4 linked regions of the Neodiprion lecontei genome follow. The protein of the gene in region 1 binds, or shares a complex with, the protein of each later gene. Links are inferred from orthologs where the notes say so. Each region holds a gene or a part of one and is shown in the gene's direction. Other genes may lie near its edges. The genes, in order: cysteine-rich PDZ-binding protein, spliceosome-associated protein CWC27 homolog, splicing factor 3B subunit 5 and pre-mRNA-splicing factor CWC22 homolog.

Region 1 (3,553 bases):
CTAAGTTTTTTGTGGTTTAAGTACGGAAGGTCGTCTGTTGCAGGAACATAACAGGATTTCCTTCCAATCATGCGTAGCTCCTTGAGTTTTTGACACATTTGTAAATATTGGACAAACTTTTTTGTATGTGGTGGATGCCATATTTGTATTGACAAATACGTGAGTTTGCTTAAAGGCCCTCGTAGAACCTTGCAGCAAGGTTCAGCGTTATCTTCCATTCGTCTTGGCCAGTCGATAGAGAGTCTCTTTACATGTGGTAATAACTTTAGGAAATATCCCAACCCCTGTACGTCTTCAAATCTTGTGCCACTTATGTTTAAGTCAACTATGTTCACTGCATTGCCGATGTAATCGTTAAGCATCTGCTCCGGCTCTATAAAATTTACATTTCTCAAATTTACTCTCTGAATGTACCTGCTTGCTTTGCTGTTGTCAAAATATTGACGGATGTCAGAAACTGATGTCAGGCGCCCGTCTTTGGAAAAATCTAAATTCCTGAAATGCACAGATAGAAAAATCTTATCACAGATATTGCTTAGTGTGGGATATAATTGGATTTTCGTTGATATACGTATATATTGAATCACGTATGTAAGCTCCATTCTAATATTTGCAACTGAATCATTAAGGATGATTAGGTTGATTGAATTTTTTAACTTCAACTGAGCTGTTTCATTTGATAAGAAATATTAATCTTTTACATGGAATGATGAAAATATGAAGAGTAAATTAAAAATAGGAATTATGTATTCACCTTAATAATTTTTTCTCTTCGAATATAAGACTGTGTAATTTTTTGCATGAATTACCCAAAGGCACACGCTCTCTGGCATTCAAATGGAAGATAATTTTCATCAAAATTTCATTGGGAAAATCCAGAATGTGACAGATGCTGGGCCTGAAACATATTGTTATATAAATTCTTTTGCGTAATTAAAATATGGAAAATATTTTGTTGTTCACTAGTGAGTGACAATACACTCGACAGTGAGATGTCAAAAATTTTCTGGCTACGCCCTCCTAAATTTCAGTTTTTTGAAACATGATTCAAATGATTAAAAAGACATAATTTATTCAAATTACGATATTGTATTCCTACAGTTTCGTAAATACGGTTTGTCAATGTTTGTTTGGGTTTTTTACATACCCAGCACTCATTTTGTTCGATGTCTTCGTCAGCCTGTATGCAATTGTTGATAATTTGCACGATATCGATAGTGACTAGCAGTTCGCGGCTAATCAGGAAATCAGATACGTCAGAGCGGTGATAAGCGTATGATATAATGGGGCTCTTCTTCCAGTGTTCTATACGCCCATTGCTCACATTTGTAAACGGGAATTTCTATTTCAGGGACTTTTAATCTAAAATACGTTATTTCATTACTTCACCTGTTATCAAATATATGATCGACTTGACAATTACGATAGAACGTGAGCGAAATCTGAATAAACAGAACTTCGGGTTATTCAGTAGTAGATGCTGAATCACTTACAGTAGTGAGAATTCAATCCTGATTATTTCATTGAATTTAAATAAGTCGATATTACGTTTATTCAAATTAGTTACGCGCGCGAAAATCGAGGAATCCCCTTGAATTCGCACAAATTTCAAGTCGCGTGGTCATAGTGACTTCAGTGTTGCCAACTGTACTCGAAATTACGTCCAGTTTGGCCGTTAGCAGCGCGCCTAGGGTGTAAATTCGTGTCAAGTTGTAACATTGTAACAATAGCATTCACAGAGCTTTAACCTGAAAAGGACGCTTAAGACTGGTGTTATTTGTTTTCATCTTAACATAACCTGCCCTTCTCAAGTTCACGAACTTTTGAAAATCAAGGACTACGTACCATCAGACGATTCGTACTGCAGTGAAATTGTGTCGATTCTAGAGCTTTAGTAACGGTAAGTACCAATCAAACTGCCTCTACTTGCCGACGCGTTCGTTTGATTCCGACACAAATATAACCTAACCTTAACCTTGACCCAGCGTTACCTGACCCAACATAAAAAATTCAGTTTTTTCACCATAAACTAGTAATCCTCTATTATTGCCCGAAACTTTTTTCTTTTCTTGTTTCTGATCTTTTTTCTGATTATGAAAGCTAAATACCGTCCCACTTGAATCGACATAAAATACTGCATAAACTAGCAATTTATTCACTGCATAAAATCTGCAAATGTGAAAATTTTTTTCCATTTCAAGATTCTTTTTGAGTCATGGTGTGCGAGAAGTGCGAGAAAAAATTGGGTCGCGTAATAACACCAGACCCGTGGAAATCTGGGGCCAGAAACACGGTGGAAAGTGGAGGAAGGAAAGTTGGGGAAAACAAAGCTCTGTCGACTAGCAAGGCGCGATTTAATCCGTACACAGCTAAGTTCGAAACCTGCAAAATATGCAGACAAAAGGTTCACCAGGTCGGATCTCATTATTGCCAATCCTGCGCATACAAAAAGGCCATATGCGCTATGTGCGGTAAAAAGCTGATGAGTACTAAAAACTACAAACAGTCCGCCACGTAGATGGTGCGCAGCAGTGCGTGACGGAAGATTAACAAGACATGAGAAATATCATCAAGATGAAGCTATTCTTTACTGTATTTGAGTCAAAGATTTGTTTTCCTCCTTTTCACTTTTGCCGGGGTATAAGGGAATAACCAGAGAGTCCCAGGGTAATTCAGAATCTGTGCGCAATTCAAAATACAGGGTTTTTTGATTCCTCAAAAATGTAATTTATTTATTCAAGGTACGACCTTATTTTCTTTATATCACGACGGTGGCAGATTTTATAATACCGCACCATAGATGATCGGTTATTGAAAACTTGGAGGTGTAAGAAGGATTATGAATTATGTATAATATTTGGTGCATTAACGCTGCAATTGTTATTGCTGTCTTCCTTATTTTTTTTTTTGTAAACAATGAGATTTATTTATTTTGTGATACAAACATTTGTTACATACTAAGCAATGATAATAATAATAATAATAAATCATGATGTTTGTATAAAATTAAATAAAATATGCAATATTGTATAATATCATAACAATTCATCTGTCTTTTTTTTCATTCCGTTATTCACGCTTATAAAATCGTCATATCCTTATGTAGTTTTATTTTCACAGTAAAAGAATTTACACACCCATACTAACAAATTTTTTTTTTCACGTGTATTTATCGTCGCTTACATAACTGGAGATTACTGAAATAATTATGGTTTTTAACTTTCCAAAAAGTGTACGAAAATATTTTCCATATTAGCCGATATTATTTTAGTCTCGTAAAAATTTCTCATTCGCTATAATGCAATGCGACGAACAAATTTTACAAAAGAAACTGAATCGGGCTTGTGTCAAGTTAAAAACCATCAAGTCTTGTGAAAGATACCCATGTAAATTTACTGAACTGATAACCAATCTTACACATTATTAAATTGTGTTATTTAAATAATGTCTAAGCTGGTCATTTTATAATCTCTTGAAAGAAATTATGCAAATTTGCGTTCTTGGAAAACAACCTCTCTGTGGCACCATGAAGTTTTTCAAAAGAAAAACGAAA
Region 2 (5,495 bases), on another chromosome or scaffold:
TCGATGCATGGATTCATCACGAGTTCGCAATTCGTGTAAAAGAGCTCGAGCTTTAAGCGTGGACACTGATGTGGATCACCCAGAACTTCAATCAAGTCTTCTATGGTCATTATCATGCGATTCAGGATTTCTTGGACAAACAGTCTTGTAGCGCAGCGTAAGAATTGCGTCAAAGTTTTCACTATGCAGGATAGATCAAGATACTTTGGTCTTTTTAATAGTTTTGCTACTTCGTCGTAATAACGCCGCATTATCAGAAGCCCACTGTTCCGAAGATCTTTGGCAACGGCACCCTTCAGCTTGTGTAACTCCAGTAGTCCCAAGCTGTGATAGCGAGAAAATTCTAGGAACTTGTCCGGAAGTCCAGAGTATGCCTTGGCTTTGATCACCCTAATCAATTTGTGGGATAAAAAATACTGTCCTCTGATAAAGTAACGATTTTTCAAAAACGTTTCATAATTTTTTGTCCGGCCTTCGTGAGCAAAGGGAGTCCCGATTGGTGAGAGATCAGGATTTTTTTTCCTTAGACTTGGATGCAGTACCATTTTAATTCCAAATCCATGCATTTCTTCGAGATATTTCTGTCTCGTCTCGTGGATTATTTGTTCCACAATGTGTGGGTATTTGAATCTGATACTTTCGGGGATTAGTCGCAGAATGTTTTCTTCCCACTCTATCGGATGTTCAACTGTAGGTATAGAATTGCCATAAAATTTTGCAATCTGGATGTAAAACGATTCTGGTAACTGGAGGCGTTGGTAACGTGTCTCAATACTATTATTACCCACATCCCTCATCAATAATTCTTTGGCACGCAAATTATCGGCAGAGCTTGCAATTAACTCAACTACTTCACGCGTTCGCTCTTTCTGCGTACTAAATTTAAGTAATGGATTTTTTTCGTAGTCCTTACTTGTAAACTGATTCAAATTTGGTATCGGAGGTCTTCGCGGCACCTTTGTCTTGCCGTAGACGAGATTATAAAACTCTTGTTTTTCCATGTCAAATTATTTTTCTTGTATTTAGTAATTTTAGTCAATTTAATGTAAGTCTATAAGTTTATTTTCAGTCTTTTATTACATCATCCATGCAAGTCTAGAAAAAACGATATATCGTGCAAAAAACAGTGGGACGAACTTTGAATTACTTCGCTATATGTTAGTTTAATTAATTTTACCTTACACGCGCGTATATAATTACGAACACAACTTAAGTATATTCGTTTTGTTATTACTATATGTACTATAATTTTTAATGGAAAAATATGTGTGCGGTGATAAGAATTACTTGTAAACCACGACAGCGAACTGATGTTTGGTCAATAATACCTATATGTTCTTCTTTGTCTTGCAGTGTTACGTCAGTAGTTACTACGGTAAATAAGTATACCTTGTAATTGGTTGAGTTATCGTAACTATTATCGAGCATGATTAAAAAAAAACAACACGTTTCTTGAGCATTTATGCATTAATATGGCAGATTTACGAGTCTGTTATGCTACAGGAGACCCGAAAATCAATCTCTGGAGAAGTTGGTGGTCTTAAATTCTGTTCATAAAACCATTTGACGCAATAGTCAAATTAAATGAATTGATTTGAAATCACAGCTTCCAGCATGGCGTATTTTTGATGCCCAAGCTGTTAATGAACAGTAAACAATTTCTACGTACGGTTTGTGTGCCTAGAGTTTCAAACTTGAATGAAGGATTCTTTTGTACCGACGTATCAAGTGAGGTGTGCTAAGGGGCTAATTTTGTTTAAGAGTCTAAGACTTACCAACGGATGGAAGTATAGACAATTTAGTCCTCGACCAATGAATGAGCTCGATGAGTCCATCTGTTCCTGTATGGAAATATGAAAAGTCTATAAACTACTAGACACTAAAGTTTTCAAATATTTTTGCATATGTTGAAGATATTTGACCACTATGAGTAACATATACATACAAGAGCCGCCTACAACAGGGAAGGTATGAATCCAAATAACTTTACGAGTCTGCGACAAGAATACTGAAATATAATCTGCGCGGAACAACTTAACCTCCAATTCGTACGGATTTACTGTTAAGATTGTCGCCGAGAATAAGGATTAACAATTGTACAAGTCGTTTTAATATGGTTTAAAAGCAACCATCCAGTTTATTCATACGAGTATTTCATACCAGCGGCAGTTTTATAATGCATGAAGTTCGCTTTATCTCATCGTCAACTTTATATCGGCAGTGAATGTTGAGGTCTTGCTTATAGCATATAGGCTGAATCTTAAATTTTTCTAGGTGATACTGCAGACCACTGTTGGCGAAATAGACTTAGAATTATGGACTAAGGAGGCACCAAAAGCTTGTAGAAACTTCATACAGCTTTGTTTGGAAGGTTATTACGATGGCACAATTTTTCATAGAGTTGAAAAAGGTTTTATTATACAAGGTGGCGATCCCACGGGGACTGGGGAGGGTGGCGAGAGTATATACGATGGCCCGTTCAAGGTATGGCACTATTTTAAACGTCGTCTTCAATTGTATCATTATCTATTGAGGTAGAATTAAACTGATCTGTCGTTACTCAATTACTGTTGAGCATTTTCAATGAGAAATAGAAATACGCATACAATATTTATATCGTACTTGCATACAAGTTGAAGAATTTTCTTTATTCATTACAGGATGAGTTTCACAGCAGATTACGTTTTTGTCGGAGAGGCTTGCTTGCAATGGCGAATGCAGGAAAAGATGATAACGGTTCTCAGTTTTTTTTCACACTGGCAGCAACTCCTGAATTGCAAAATAAACACACGATATTTGGTAAAGTTACAGGAGAGACAATTTACAACATGCTCAAACTTGAGGACACATTGGTCGATGAGGTACTGGGAATTTTTTCGTCATATTCCCATATGGAAGTTGAGAATTTTTGGTACGTTTAGTAGTTCGTTTTAAAGTATCCATCTCTCAAGTATAAAATGCAAGAATTGAAAAAAAATTTTCATCTTTAACGTACCAAATGTGACATTCATTTTGACGATTTTCCTAAATTTTTAAAATACGATATTCATTCCAGAACGATCGTCCATTGTATCCGCAAAAAATTGTTAAAACAGAGGTTTTAAATAATCCATTTACCGACATCGAGCCTCGAGTTGAACCCAAACAAGTTGAGGCAGAAAAGCTGCAAAAGAAAGAGAAAAAATCTGGCGTGAAGTACTAATCTTTTTTACACAATTCTAGAAGAAGTTTTTACCTTGTTAACATTGTTAATATTTTTGCCGTGCTGAAACCTTGTAATTGCAGAAATTTCAAACTTCTGTCTTTTGGAGAGGAAGCGGAGGAAGATGAAGAGGAATCTGTTGTTTTGAGCAAACAGTTTAGCACCAAGGGAAAATCAGCTCATGATAATTTGGCCGATCCTAAGCTTAGTTCAGAGCTTGCTATAGACAATGGTGAACCATCTAGTAAAAAGATGAAAGGAGATGAGGATAGTGATTCGGAGAGTGCAACCGAAGAAATATCACTCGATGAGATTGCCAATCTGAGTAAAGAAAAGCAGTAAGCAATGTTTATTTTGCGAATTCATCTACAAACTAATGACTTTTTAACTATCGGACTTTACTCTGCTAGAGCTATGAGAGAAAGGATAAAGAACAAGTTAAAAGACGCTAAAAGTACATCAGATAATAAGAAACCAAAAGATCGGAAGATCGATGAAGTTCAGAACATCGACAATGATGCTGAGCCCGAAGAAGAAGCTTATTACTTGGGCAAAGATCGTGATGAAGAACGAAAGAAAAAAGCGTATGTAATGAAGATGATATATTTTTCCAATTTTGAAGTAGATTGAGATTGGCTGCTGGTACCTCTTTTAACCGTTTAAATTAATTTCATTATTGCTTTTTAGTGAGGAGATACGAAAGGAAATTCGAGACTTGAAACGCGACGTCAGAAGTGAAAAAAAAGCAAAAGAAGAGGAAGCCCAGATACAGGTGGAGAAAGAACAGGAGAAGGAAAAGAAATCTAGCGTTTTAAGGGAGTACATAGAAACCCAGGAGAAGTACAAGGAAGCTAAATCGAAATTGCCAAAAAAAGGTAATTCCTCCTCAGAGAGTATAATTCTAATACAGTGTTTTTACTTTTCTGCATTCTTACAGGCGCATCCCGAGAAAATTTCACTCTGCAGCTATTACAAAAGTTTCGAAGTAAGCTACAAAGCGCTAAGGAACAGGTTGAGGAGTCAACTGAAGTCGCGGAAAAGAAGAAAAAACCAGATAACCAAGACGATGACGGTTTTGACGACGAGAAATGGATGGCGCACACTTTACGGTTCGAGGAAAAAACGCCAGTTTTGGCTAAAGACGCTAGTACAAAGGCCGACGATTGGTTCGAGATTTATGATCCGAGAAATCCGTTGAACAAAAGAAGACGCGGTGAGAAAACACCAAAATTGAAAGACGGTGAACACTCTCGGCATAAATAATAACTATAAAACGCTAACGAACCGTATAGACTTCCAAAAAAGTGTCGTTTTCAAAATTGACAACCAGTTTCCATTGATCTTGATTATAAATTCCAAAACTGTTACAAATCGAATAAGCGTCATCCATTTAATGCAAATCTGATTCAACATTCGCAATTCGACAACCTAAACACAGGATTTGACTACAAATTACAAATGGCATTCGCTAAATGTAATATTTTCTTTATATGTATACATACTTACTGTACAAGCAACTCACAGTGTACATAATTCCGCTACCAGTTCCCGGTAGCGCAAATATTTAGTTTCAATTCAGGTAAAGCGGTGTATTATTAAATTATTCTGGTGGAAATATTTGCATCGCAACATCTATTTGCAATGTTTGCACTTAAAACGGGATGATAATCAAACGATGTAGAAATGATATAGTATACGATCATGTATCGATAACTCTAATCCAATGAATAAATTAATTCTTTTTTCTAGAGGTACATTTCATGTCGGATACTACACTTGTTTCACCCCTTGCACGTTTTATTTGCCTAATCAGTGTTGCGATGTGTGGCGATTAGCATGTCAACGACGGCCATGTTCACTGTCAAATATTTCTAAATAATTTCTTCACAACCAGTTCGTAGACGTACCTTTTTTATTCTACTGGCAAATAAACATTCGTTCGGTAGTTAGGCCAGTAGTTCGACTGGTCAAGAGTCAATTCAAGATTATATGCGGCACTGATAGACTGTTGTGACGTTGTATGAATGTTAATGAAAGAATGTAAACACGCCGAAATGATGAAAAACACAGCGTGGGAAACGCCGCACGCGTAAGATAAGAAAAGATCACATAATTCTGCAATGACTTGACGGTTCAGGATTATACGTGCAATCGTAAAAGAGATTTGAAATGTATGAGAGTAAATCGAGAATAAGCGGGTTGGTGAAATTTTTAATTTTGTTATTCTTGTTGTTATTACCCGTTACTATTGTTATTTTTATTATTATTATTGCTATCTTTTAAATAGCCGATG
Region 3 (3,311 bases), on another chromosome or scaffold:
GTAGCCAATGGGAACATACTGAAGCTGGGGTAGAATTCCAGGATCAGCGGAAGCAGGCGTCATTGGTGTCATCGGGCCTGGAGTTGACGGTCCGATTGAAGGGGGAGCTATTTGACTTGCTGGTTGAACCATAGGCGACATCATATTTTGCTATGAAAAAATAATAGCAAAACATCATCCTTAAGTGGTTAAGAACTTTTATAACATTAGTTGGTGAAAAAGCGAGTGAAATAATAGATAGTGTTTACCGGTGTTTGTGGCTGCATAAGACTTTGCGGCGTTGCGAATGCCGGAGCATAAGTGTGCATAGTTTTGTGCGGTGTACCCAACATTGGCATTCCGTGTACGTTTGAACCCATCGGATGCATTTGCTGTAGTTGATTTTGTTGGACTTGTTGTTGTTGTTGTAGCGCATTCGGCAATATTTGTTGATCCTCTTCAGGTTGATGTAACGGTGTGCCGATACTCGGGATGCTGAATCCCGGACTCGGGAGCATTTGATCCATCGTGGATGTTTATGTAAATTTCAATTTAATACAAATTTTATAATTTGCCACTATGTGCAATCTTGATAATCGAGTGAACTTGGTAACTAAGGCCAGTTAGCACATTACTTTGATGACCAAGTAATGTTGATTTGCGAAAGTGCAGTGTCGTTACCCTGTTATATTGATAATCTAATACTTCGCCGACACATTCATACAAAATCACATACTTAAATTTAATATCACAAATTCATTCTTCTAATATATGAGCTATTCCGAAGTTAGGGAGATCCTGTACTCATTTTTCAACAGACACCATTTTCGGTTAAGGTATCAACAATAATTCTGTACAAGAGGATGGGTTAGGTTAGCTCAGGATAGGTTAGATTGGCGGCGGGGGAGGGGGGGGGGGGGGAGGGGGGCACGGTGTAAGAATAAGAGGTGGTCCAACTGGCCCTCGGTTACTGTGATTATTTTGTCTTAGTACGACGGAAATCCGCCAGGGGCCTTATGCGTCTGTGAGGATGAGTAAGATAAGGGCCGTGTTCGAAAATTGACTGACAGTACTGTCAGCAATCTTTCATCTCTTTTGCGCTTCCCAGTTCGTGAATAGCTCTGACTCTGTCCTAGGGAATTTTGAGTACTGTTAGTCAATTTACGAACACGGCCAAGATCTTAACGTCACCAGCTAACCTACAGCGGTGGTGGACATTGTGAGAATGATGATCATTTTCCTTTTTTTTTCAGGTCGCAAATAGAGCCAAACACCAGCCCCCTGACACTCGCCACTGCTCGTATACTAAAAAATTGTATGCGTTTTGTCCCCGTTTTTTAGTTCCCCTACGTGGCGCTAGTAAACTTCTGACACCCTCGCTGCCTTCGTAGACCGCGCGCACGCTTTTCAGACAACTACTAGCGCCACTAGTGGTGGAGATTGGCGGCAGAATCGAGGGACATTTTGCGAACCACTTTTAGCAGCGTGTGTCAGGGAACTGACCAAACACCCAACACAAGACGGACAAAACTTGTCTTCAGTAATTGTACACATTAGGGTTATTTTCTGTACTACTAGCGTTGCTAGTGTAGTTTTTCTACCGAAGTGGCATTGGTTGCAGGTATGCCAAAGATCAATCCGGAGTGAGAGAGATAGGTTGAATGCGGTCAGCTTGACCACTATCTGTGCATCATCAGTTTTAAGCATAGACTTATAAAGATAGACTGAGCGGTCTTATGAGCCGCTTGAAGCAAACATTTAAAGGACAGAAATATGCCGGGAGACTCCCTTCTCTCTCTGACGATATTTGGGGCTGGGATCGAGGCGATAGAGGAGAATGAGGCGAAATTATGCGCCTATATCTACAGCTGTTCCACTTCCACTGCTCCGTTGTCTTCCACCATGACGCCAATTGAAAAGTGAGAGCAGTAGTCCTGATATATCTCTGTCCCTTATATGTGATTGTCAGTGCCTCTTCTAGGAGCGCTTAGTCTATCTTTATAAGTCTATGGTTTCAAGACGAAGCGTGATTTGTAACGTTCGACAATATCTGTCTAGTTTTGTGTCAAAACTGATAAAAATACGGACTCGGCATCTGGACCTGCATACATACATCAACAAAACTTTTGTGAAAACCAAGTAGTTAATCTTGTACATACATTAGAAAACTGATCTCGTTAATCATTTATAAGAGAGACCAAGAAGTGTACTAGAAACTTATCAAGAGCGTTGTCAAAAGTAAGTAGAAAAGTATATCAAGTGAAATTTTTCACTATTTTAGTAATTGTTAATATTGTGAAGTATAACTGACATTACATATTGCAAGAGTACATTCGGCCATACGACAGACGGTGATAAATGAATTTATGGAATATTGCGTCCCATTAATAGCGCTAACCTATAATTTCGAGGTTATGTATCACGCATTTTGTTATTGTTCAATTTAGGAATGGGGGAACGTTACAATATCCATAGTCAGCTGGAACATCTTCAATCCAAGTACATTGGGACAGGTCATGCAGACACAACGAAATTTGAATGGTTGGTTAATCAGCACAGAGATTCATGTAGCTCTTACATGGGGCATTACGACCTTCTAAATTTTTTTGCGCTAGCTGAAAACGAAGCCAAGGCACGCGTCAGATTTAATCTGATGGAGAAAATGCTGCAGCCTTGTGGCCCACCTCCAGAAAAACCAGAAGATTAATCCTATCTATAAAAAATAAGCTGCGAACTGATTTTTTCTGTTACTCTAAAAATATAAATAAACCAATTCTTATCAACTCAAATGAATGTATAAATTTTTATGTACATCATGCTCTCCTTGTCAAACTAATCAATGGAAAATTTCAAGGTTCATTCATTTCTAATCATGTTTTTATTTAATTTTTTTCCTGTTCCTTTCGCTTTAAAGCTCTGAGGACAGTTTTGACTAAACATTGCTGAACAACTGGACATATATTCTTATTAGCTACAGTGAGGGTTTCGATAGCTTGTTTTATGCAATCTATGTTAATGCTTCCAACGAGAAAAAACTCTGAAATCTGGTCATGTTGCGGTAAAGCAGCTTGCATGATCAGTCCATGGTTATTGGGTGGGTTTGGCTTTGCTGGTGCAGAATTACAAAGTACCTCTTCCTCCACTGTCAGATCCAAAAACATTGTATCTTTATAGAACCCCTGAAAATGAGAAGTTCGTTAACAGTTTAAGGAACATAAATATCTCAACAGCTGTTATTTTTATTACAGTTTTCCGTCTATCTGCACTTCTGTAACACTATAATTGAAATTTTCAAGAGACTCATATCCATGTGAAGAATGCAGTTTGACAAT
Region 4 (6,696 bases), on another chromosome or scaffold:
TAGTATTCATACTACTTCTGATAAAAACTACTTGAGAAGTATACGAATGATAAATCTATTGGCCATAATTAATAGTTCTTTGTTTGCCAAAGCGAATTCATCAAACTGGTACTAGTAGCCAAAGCTAGCAATTCCATGACACAAAGTTATACCAGCATCGAATGGTTTAGCTGCTGACTTTGGCTGTTAGTTTCAGCATCGTTAATGTAATATATATTCATTACTCACATTAAGCACAGATTTTTGAAACAATTTTTGAGCCAAAAAACATTGTAACAAGTTATTGTAAAAGCGAGCCCCACAGCTTAATTTTAGTTCTCAATGCTTAATTCTTGAATTTAACAATAGATGGAAATGAAGATAAGAATTGGGCGTACATAATATATACGTAATTATATGCTATGAATATTGTATATGTGTAAAACATGTATCATGTTCAGTGAAAGTTATTCCTAAAGGGTCTCAGATACGAGTTAAAATTGAAGTAATTGTGAGAATAGGAGTAATGATGCGTCAATCCATAATTTCGAATCAGTTCATTTGCAAGCCTATGTAGGATGAATGAATTATAAATGAATCAAACGAGTTTAATATCGATTTGTTGATAACAGCAAAATGGTCGTTTCGGTGAGTTTCAGGAACGACGCCATATCGCCTCATGCTGATACTACTTGATGCGGCAACGCGGACAAAAAAAAAAGAAACGGAAACAACCATACGAGATCTTTCACCGATGACTAAAATATCCGAAACATTGCGATTTTGTCTATTTCGTTTTGTTCATAATTAACGTGAAACTCACCTGATGATGAAATATCACTGTACCGGTAGATCAACACTGCGATTAAACCACGTACGCTAACGAGCCACCATTTTCATTGGTAGCGAACACATCCACTTGGTCCTCACACATATATACCTCACGTGCAGGCTCCAGTCGGCTGACTACTCGCGTCAAGCCGTGTGTCGGCCCATTTTGTTCACTTTGCAACTGCTAAATAAGGTGCGTTCCGAAACTAGCTGCAGCGTCAAAACTCCCTAGGACAGAGACAGAGCCGCCCACGAACTTGGCAGCACAAAAGAGATAAAAGATGGCTGACAACACTGGGAGCTAATTTCGGAACGCATCCGTTAATAGGTTTGTTCGTGCTAGCTACACTTTCTACACTTTCGTGGGGAGTGTACACTTGCGCGTTCGTTTTAGCGAACGTGACGTCGATGGCGCTGTTCGTTTTACAAATGTCACTAGACTTTCGTTACACTTTGGCCATGTTCGTAAATTGACTGCCAGTACTAAAAATTCTCTAGGACAGAGACAGAGCTATCCATGAACTCGGCAGCGCAAAAGAGATAAAAAATTGCTGATAGTACTGTCAGTCAATTTTCGAACACGGCCTTTGTGTACACTTTTTACACTCGGTCTAGACCAAGTGTAAAAGGTGTAAAAAGTGTAAATGGTTCAATTCGCATGAATGCTACAGGTTTTTCCACCACGTTAGTGAACTGTGATGCGATATATACCCTAAAACTCACGAGTGACAACAAACCCATAACCTCACTCCAAATCAGAACAAAGCAGTACAGTATTTTACTTCAAAAACAAGGTTCAATTTGATAACAGTGTACTTAAAACATAAGGTATGAAAGATTTCGTTAACAAATTCCAAAAATGCTTTATCTTATTTACTAATTTGTTGTATTAATAAGTGTTTCGAGGAAAAAAACGACTGTACGTAACGTGCGCCATTTTCTTGTCCCCACTTCTCTGCACCTTCTACACTATTGCGTTCGCGCTATTTTAGCTACACTCGAGAAGCGAACGTACACTCCCCAGCAATCCCTAGTACACTACCCTAGTTCTTTTTACACTTGTGAGTGTAGAGTGTAGCTAGCACGAACAAACCTAGTGTGTATAACTTGGATCAATTATGATCTGTGGTCTTGCTGCAGTAAACGTATTTGTCGCGTGGTATACATGGTTTTACCCCGTTCATTGGCATACGAGTTTATCGTAATACCGGCGCGGCTGGATCGACTAGAGCACGACTAGAGTGGTTCGAAACTACGCGCACAGCGCTCCGACCTGACATTTTGTACTACAAGTTTTTTGGGGTTAATGGTTCCATGTGTCTTGTGGCAATAATGAGCCTTGTGGTCCGAACTTACATATTTTTATTGATTTGAGTGCACTATAAACAGCAATTTTTTTTTTTAAATACAGAGAAATAAAATTCGCGCTGCTTAATGTCATAAATTTTTCAATCAATATTCTTATTCATAGTAATTATTGATGTGATAATTGGTAATAATTCATTATGTCTGAGAACACAATGAAAGCCAAACCTGACAAGAGGTGTTCGCCATCGATAAACAGTGACGATGAAACTGAACACGATAAACGTTCGAGGAGAAGTAAACGTAAGAACGATGGTTCAGACTATGAAGATAAGAGTGATCGTCACAGTAGGCGAAAGGAGAGAAGTGATTCTAAATACTACAGGAGCAACAACAGTAGCAGAAATGGCAGAGATAGAGACAGGAGACGACATAGGAATGACAAGGAACGAACTCGTCGAAGTGAAGACGACAGGCAAACAGCCACAGATGAGAATGATAGATCGTATCGAAAGGGTCATGACTCGAATGACAATGGTTCACTACGTAGATATTGGAGCGATCAGTACTGGAACAAGTATCCGACCAATAAACAAGAAAGAATAGGACAGCGTTTTTATGGCGGTCGTCACGAGGAGAGGAATGAATCACCCAAACGTCGCTACGACGATAAAGAAAATGATGAGGATGTCGCGTGTGCTGAAAAGAATCAGATCACGGTGGAAAATGAACGAGAAAAAATTACACCAGCGCAAAAGCGAACGGTGGATCTTCTGACATCGAAAACTGGTGGTGCTTACATTCCACCAGCCAAACTCCGCATGATGCAGGCTGAGATCACTGACAAATCGGGAGCTGCATACCAGCGGATATCTTGGGAAGCCTTGAAAAAGTCCATTCATGGATACATTAATAAAGTCAACACCAGCAATATCGGATTAATCACTAGAGAATTGTTACACGAGAACATTGTCAGAGGTCGAGGCCTGTTGGCGAGATCTATTATTCAGGCTCAAGCTGCCTCCCCTACTTTCACACCTATCTATGCAGCACTTACTGCTGTGATCAATTCAAAAGTACATGATTTATATTATTGATGTTGGTTTCCTTTTTTTAATATTATTCTGAAATGCTCACATCATTTCTTTTTCAGTTCCCTAATATTGGTGAATTGTTGCTCAAGCGTCTAGTCATACAGTTCAAGCGTGGATTTCGCCGTAATGATAAAGCTCAGTGCATTTCTTCGGCCACGTTTGTTGCCCATTTGGTCAACCAGCGTGTTGCCCATGAAATCTTAGCTTTGGAAATACTAACTTTACTAGTAGAGACGCCAACTGATGACTCCGTCGAAGTTGCCATCGCATTTTTGAAAGAATGTGGCATGAAACTCACAGAGGTTTCCAAGAAAGGGATCGAGGCAATATTTGAAATGCTTCGCAACATCTTACATGAAGGACAGCTGGATAAAAGAGTAGGTAGAAACACCTGAAATCATAAAACGTTGACATTAGTTTGGTTTCAATATTTTATGATCTATTAAGGATGTTCCATTTTACTTTAATTATGCTGCATAGTTTCTTAATTAAATTTCACCACTGACTTGAACATATTTCAGGTACAATATATGATAGAAGTTATATTCCAAATTAGAAAAGACGGATTTAAAGATCACGAGGCTGTGAATGAAGAGCTTGACCTTGTTGAAGAGGATAACCAGTTTACTCACCTTGTGACTTTGGACGAAGCAACTGACCCTCAAGATGTACTGAGTAAGACTTGCACAAATATACGGCTTGCATTGACTTCATAATTGTCGGCATAGCTATAACATGACATTTCAAAATGTGGCATCTATCAATTTTTTTTTCTCATAGACGTTTTCAAGTTCGATCCGGACTACATTGCAACAGAGGAAAAATATAAAGCATTGAGCAAAGAGATTCTTGATACTGACAGTAGCGGTTCAGATGGTTCTGATGGTGATGAAGAAGATAACTCCTCTGACGAGGAAGATAGTAATATCACAGGTAACTTGATTTTCAGATACATGTATTTGTGATGGAATTTGTAATTGTGGAGATGAAGGCGTAATTCCTTCCAAAATATAATATCAGTGACTATTTCCTACCTTATTAAAAGTCCCTCAAATTCTGTAATATTTGATATAATAAAGTAAAACGGATTCTTTCAGGAGAAGCAAAGGAAGATGTTATAGTCGACAACACTGAAACTAATTTAACAGCGTTGCGCAGAACGATTTATTTAACTATTCATTCTTCTCTCGACTTTGAGGAATGTGCGCACAAATTGATGAAGATGCAGCTGAAGCCTGGGCAAGAAATTGAACTATGTCACATGTTCCTGGACTGTTGCGCAGAGATGAGGACATATGAGAAATTCTTTGGTCTCTTAGCTGGGGTAAGTGCTTCTTAGCGGTTGCTCAATGTTTTGTGAAACATCTGTATTTTGATTGAATGACTTGCTTTTTCAGCGATTTTGCGCGATTAACAAAATCTACGTGACGCCGTTTGAACAAATTTTCATCGATTCGTACGATACAATACATCGTTTGGACACCAACAAACTACGTAACGTGTCCAAATTCTTTGCTCATTTGTTGTTCACTGATTCCATTTCTTGGGAGGTTCTATCTTGCATAAAATTAAATGAAGAAGATACTACCAGCTCTAGTCGTATCTTCATAAAAATTTTATTCCAAGAATTATCCGAGTATATGGGACTTTCAAAATTAAATCAGCGTGTGAAAGATGTGTAAGTAATGTCTTTATTAGATATTGATGTGTTGTACTTCTTCTATTTGAAACTGTTTTTTTGATTCAAAGGACTTTGCAAGGAGCCTTCGAGGGTTTATTTCCACGAGATGATCCAAAGAATACAAGATTTGCTATCAATTTTTTCACTTCCATTGGTCTGGGTGGTCTTACGTAAGTTATATTCATTTTTACTAATTGAAATTCCAACAATATTTTTCTATATGAATGCTGTAATTTCAGGGATGAATTACGAGAACACTTGAAATCGCGTCCGAAGCCAGCTGTAGTGCCAGAATTTGTTGAAGACAAAAAAGAGTCGTCTAGTTCCAGCAGTTCATCTTCATCTAGTTCCGAATCCTCGTCGAGTTCATCGTCGTCGTCATCATCATCCGAGACTGCAAGTACGAAATTTTTCATATTTCTAAATAATGATTACAATCGCAAAAATTGCGAATATGTATATTTTTAAAATTTTCCAACTTAAAATTGATTATTTGGGGGATTAGAATTTCATGCCAAAGTCGGTACCTGAAACTGCTAATTTTTTTTTCTGGAAAAACCAGTGGACCACTCGTTTTTTAGTAATTTACAAGTCAGGTAAAGAAATGAAATTTTTTTGTCATTTTTCGTAACTCTTCACTCTTGCTGTAAAAAAGGAAAGAAAAAAAATCTATATTTCCTAGGTTCTTCTGAATCTGACGACCATCGGAAAAAGAAATCTGCGAAAGAAAAAACCCAAAAAAAGAAGAAGAAAAACAAAACGCGAGTGACAAAAAAGAAACTAAAAAACAAATCAATCGTGAAAGATGTTTGGGATATAGAAACTGATAGAAACTGTATTAGCAGCACTCACGAGACAAATGAAGGGCGCAGGAATAGCGATAAAACGCCTAATGATAGATTGAGTCAATCAAAACGATCAACCAAACCAAATCGGCATGGAGAATGGGACAGGGAAAGTGACGATCGGACAAACACGCACAAGGACAAAAATAATAGGCATAGAAGGCATAAGGATTAGTGAATAATGACAGTAATTTTTATAATGTAACAAATAATGAATCACAATATCTCGTTGGCTGTATATTTCGCCTCTAACGCATCAACATACTGGGAATTTATTTGAACAGATATTCTCTATTATGAATAAAAAAAAAAATACCTTGACACTCCTGTTATTTAGTCGATTTCATGGGGTTAATAAACTTTGAATGAATTCAGTTGAATTCAATAAAGGTTAACCCCTCCGGAAATGATCACGTTTCAACTTCTGATTTGTCTCCAAAATCCCAAAATGCAAAAGTTTTAATACGCCTCAGGTGTATGGCACACTGAACGACCAAGAGGAGCATGAGTCCTGTTGATAAAGTCTGCTTGGAGGTTACTAACGATTGATGCAACATCTTGCTTGAACCACCTCATCGACTGCTTAACTTGACTACCCTCTTTATCGATTCTATTTTTCTTGCCATACTTGTAATTTTTATTGAATGGCTCAACATATCTGTCGTAAATAACAATTACATGTAAATCATTTAAAGCAAGGAAATCATAAACATATTCCATCTATTTAAAATATCAGTAACGCTATTTTTTGTGGCAATAAAATTCCAACAGAATGCTCACTTTCGATTGATTTGTTCAGAAACATCATAATTATTGTGACTTTTCCTGTAAAGTCGATGGCCAATGCGAGAAGCTAAAATAACTTCAGTCACAGTTTTTCGAGGATTTACCAATTCTGCTGCTGTACCATCTAAAATATTGTGACGCAAATGACTAAATTTTTTTTATTCTAATGTCAGAA

Evidence for each region.
Region 2: cysteine-rich PDZ-binding protein (region 1) and spliceosome-associated protein CWC27 homolog share a complex: the UniProt entries of both Homo sapiens proteins name them as parts of the minor spliceosome. The link is inferred for Neodiprion lecontei from reciprocal best matches to the Homo sapiens genes CRIPT and CWC27.
Region 3: cysteine-rich PDZ-binding protein (region 1) and splicing factor 3B subunit 5 share a complex: the UniProt entries of both Homo sapiens proteins name them as parts of the minor spliceosome. The link is inferred for Neodiprion lecontei from reciprocal best matches to the Homo sapiens genes CRIPT and SF3B5.
Region 4: cysteine-rich PDZ-binding protein (region 1) and pre-mRNA-splicing factor CWC22 homolog share a complex: the UniProt entries of both Homo sapiens proteins name them as parts of the minor spliceosome. The link is inferred for Neodiprion lecontei from reciprocal best matches to the Homo sapiens genes CRIPT and CWC22.

What each region holds. Positions count from the first base shown.
Region 1 is NC_060264.1:28,958,027-28,961,579, reverse strand, and holds cysteine-rich PDZ-binding protein, read left to right. Parts: upstream 1-1,714; 5' UTR 1,715-1,900; exon of another isoform or gene 1,901-2,167; intron 2,168-2,201; 5' UTR 2,202-2,215; coding exon 2,216-2,518; 3' UTR 2,519-3,041; downstream 3,042-3,553. Other genes in the region: uncharacterized protein LOC107218174, read right to left, coding at 1-495, 755-898, 1,148-1,158. UniProt on the Homo sapiens protein: As a component of the minor spliceosome, involved in the splicing of U12-type introns in pre-mRNAs. Involved in the cytoskeletal anchoring of DLG4 in excitatory synapses.
Region 2 is NC_060260.1:40,538,924-40,544,418, forward strand, and holds spliceosome-associated protein CWC27 homolog, read left to right. Parts: upstream 1-1,830; 5' UTR 1,831-1,926; coding exon 1,927-1,968; intron 1,969-2,274; coding exon 2,275-2,484; exon of another isoform or gene 2,485-2,526; intron 2,527-2,622; exon of another isoform or gene 2,623-2,660; coding exon 2,661-2,861; intron 2,862-2,995; exon of another isoform or gene 2,996-3,055; coding exon 3,056-3,195; intron 3,196-3,285; coding exon 3,286-3,540; intron 3,541-3,612; coding exon 3,613-3,786; intron 3,787-3,889; coding exon 3,890-4,077; intron 4,078-4,139; coding exon 4,140-4,465; 3' UTR 4,466-4,973; downstream 4,974-5,495. Other genes in the region: dynein axonemal heavy chain 7-like, read right to left, coding at 1-688, 914-1,001. UniProt on the Homo sapiens protein: As part of the spliceosome, plays a role in pre-mRNA splicing. Probable inactive PPIase with no peptidyl-prolyl cis-trans isomerase activity. As a component of the minor spliceosome, involved in the splicing of U12-type introns in pre-mRNAs.
Region 3 is NC_060261.1:14,537,293-14,540,603, forward strand, and holds splicing factor 3B subunit 5, read left to right. Parts: upstream 1-1,906; 5' UTR 1,907-2,217; intron 2,218-2,426; 5' UTR 2,427-2,428; coding exon 2,429-2,686; 3' UTR 2,687-2,768; downstream 2,769-3,311. Other genes in the region: TATA-box-binding protein, read right to left, coding at 20-150, 249-506; exosome complex component MTR3, read right to left, coding at 2,862-3,158. UniProt on the Homo sapiens protein: Component of the 17S U2 SnRNP complex of the spliceosome, a large ribonucleoprotein complex that removes introns from transcribed pre-mRNAs.
Region 4 is NC_060261.1:13,515,044-13,521,739, forward strand, and holds pre-mRNA-splicing factor CWC22 homolog, read left to right. Parts: upstream 1-1,928; 5' UTR 1,929-2,315; coding exon 2,316-3,191; intron 3,192-3,268; coding exon 3,269-3,586; intron 3,587-3,730; coding exon 3,731-3,884; intron 3,885-3,989; coding exon 3,990-4,142; intron 4,143-4,306; coding exon 4,307-4,533; intron 4,534-4,606; coding exon 4,607-4,887; exon of another isoform or gene 4,888-4,958; coding exon 4,959-5,060; exon of another isoform or gene 5,061-5,129; coding exon 5,130-5,290; intron 5,291-5,417; exon of another isoform or gene 5,418-5,534; intron 5,535-5,572; coding exon 5,573-5,910; 3' UTR 5,911-6,177; downstream 6,178-6,696. Other genes in the region: EF-hand domain-containing family member B-like, read right to left, coding at 6,195-6,393, 6,516-6,645. UniProt on the Homo sapiens protein: Required for pre-mRNA splicing as component of the spliceosome. As a component of the minor spliceosome, involved in the splicing of U12-type introns in pre-mRNAs. Promotes exon-junction complex (EJC) assembly.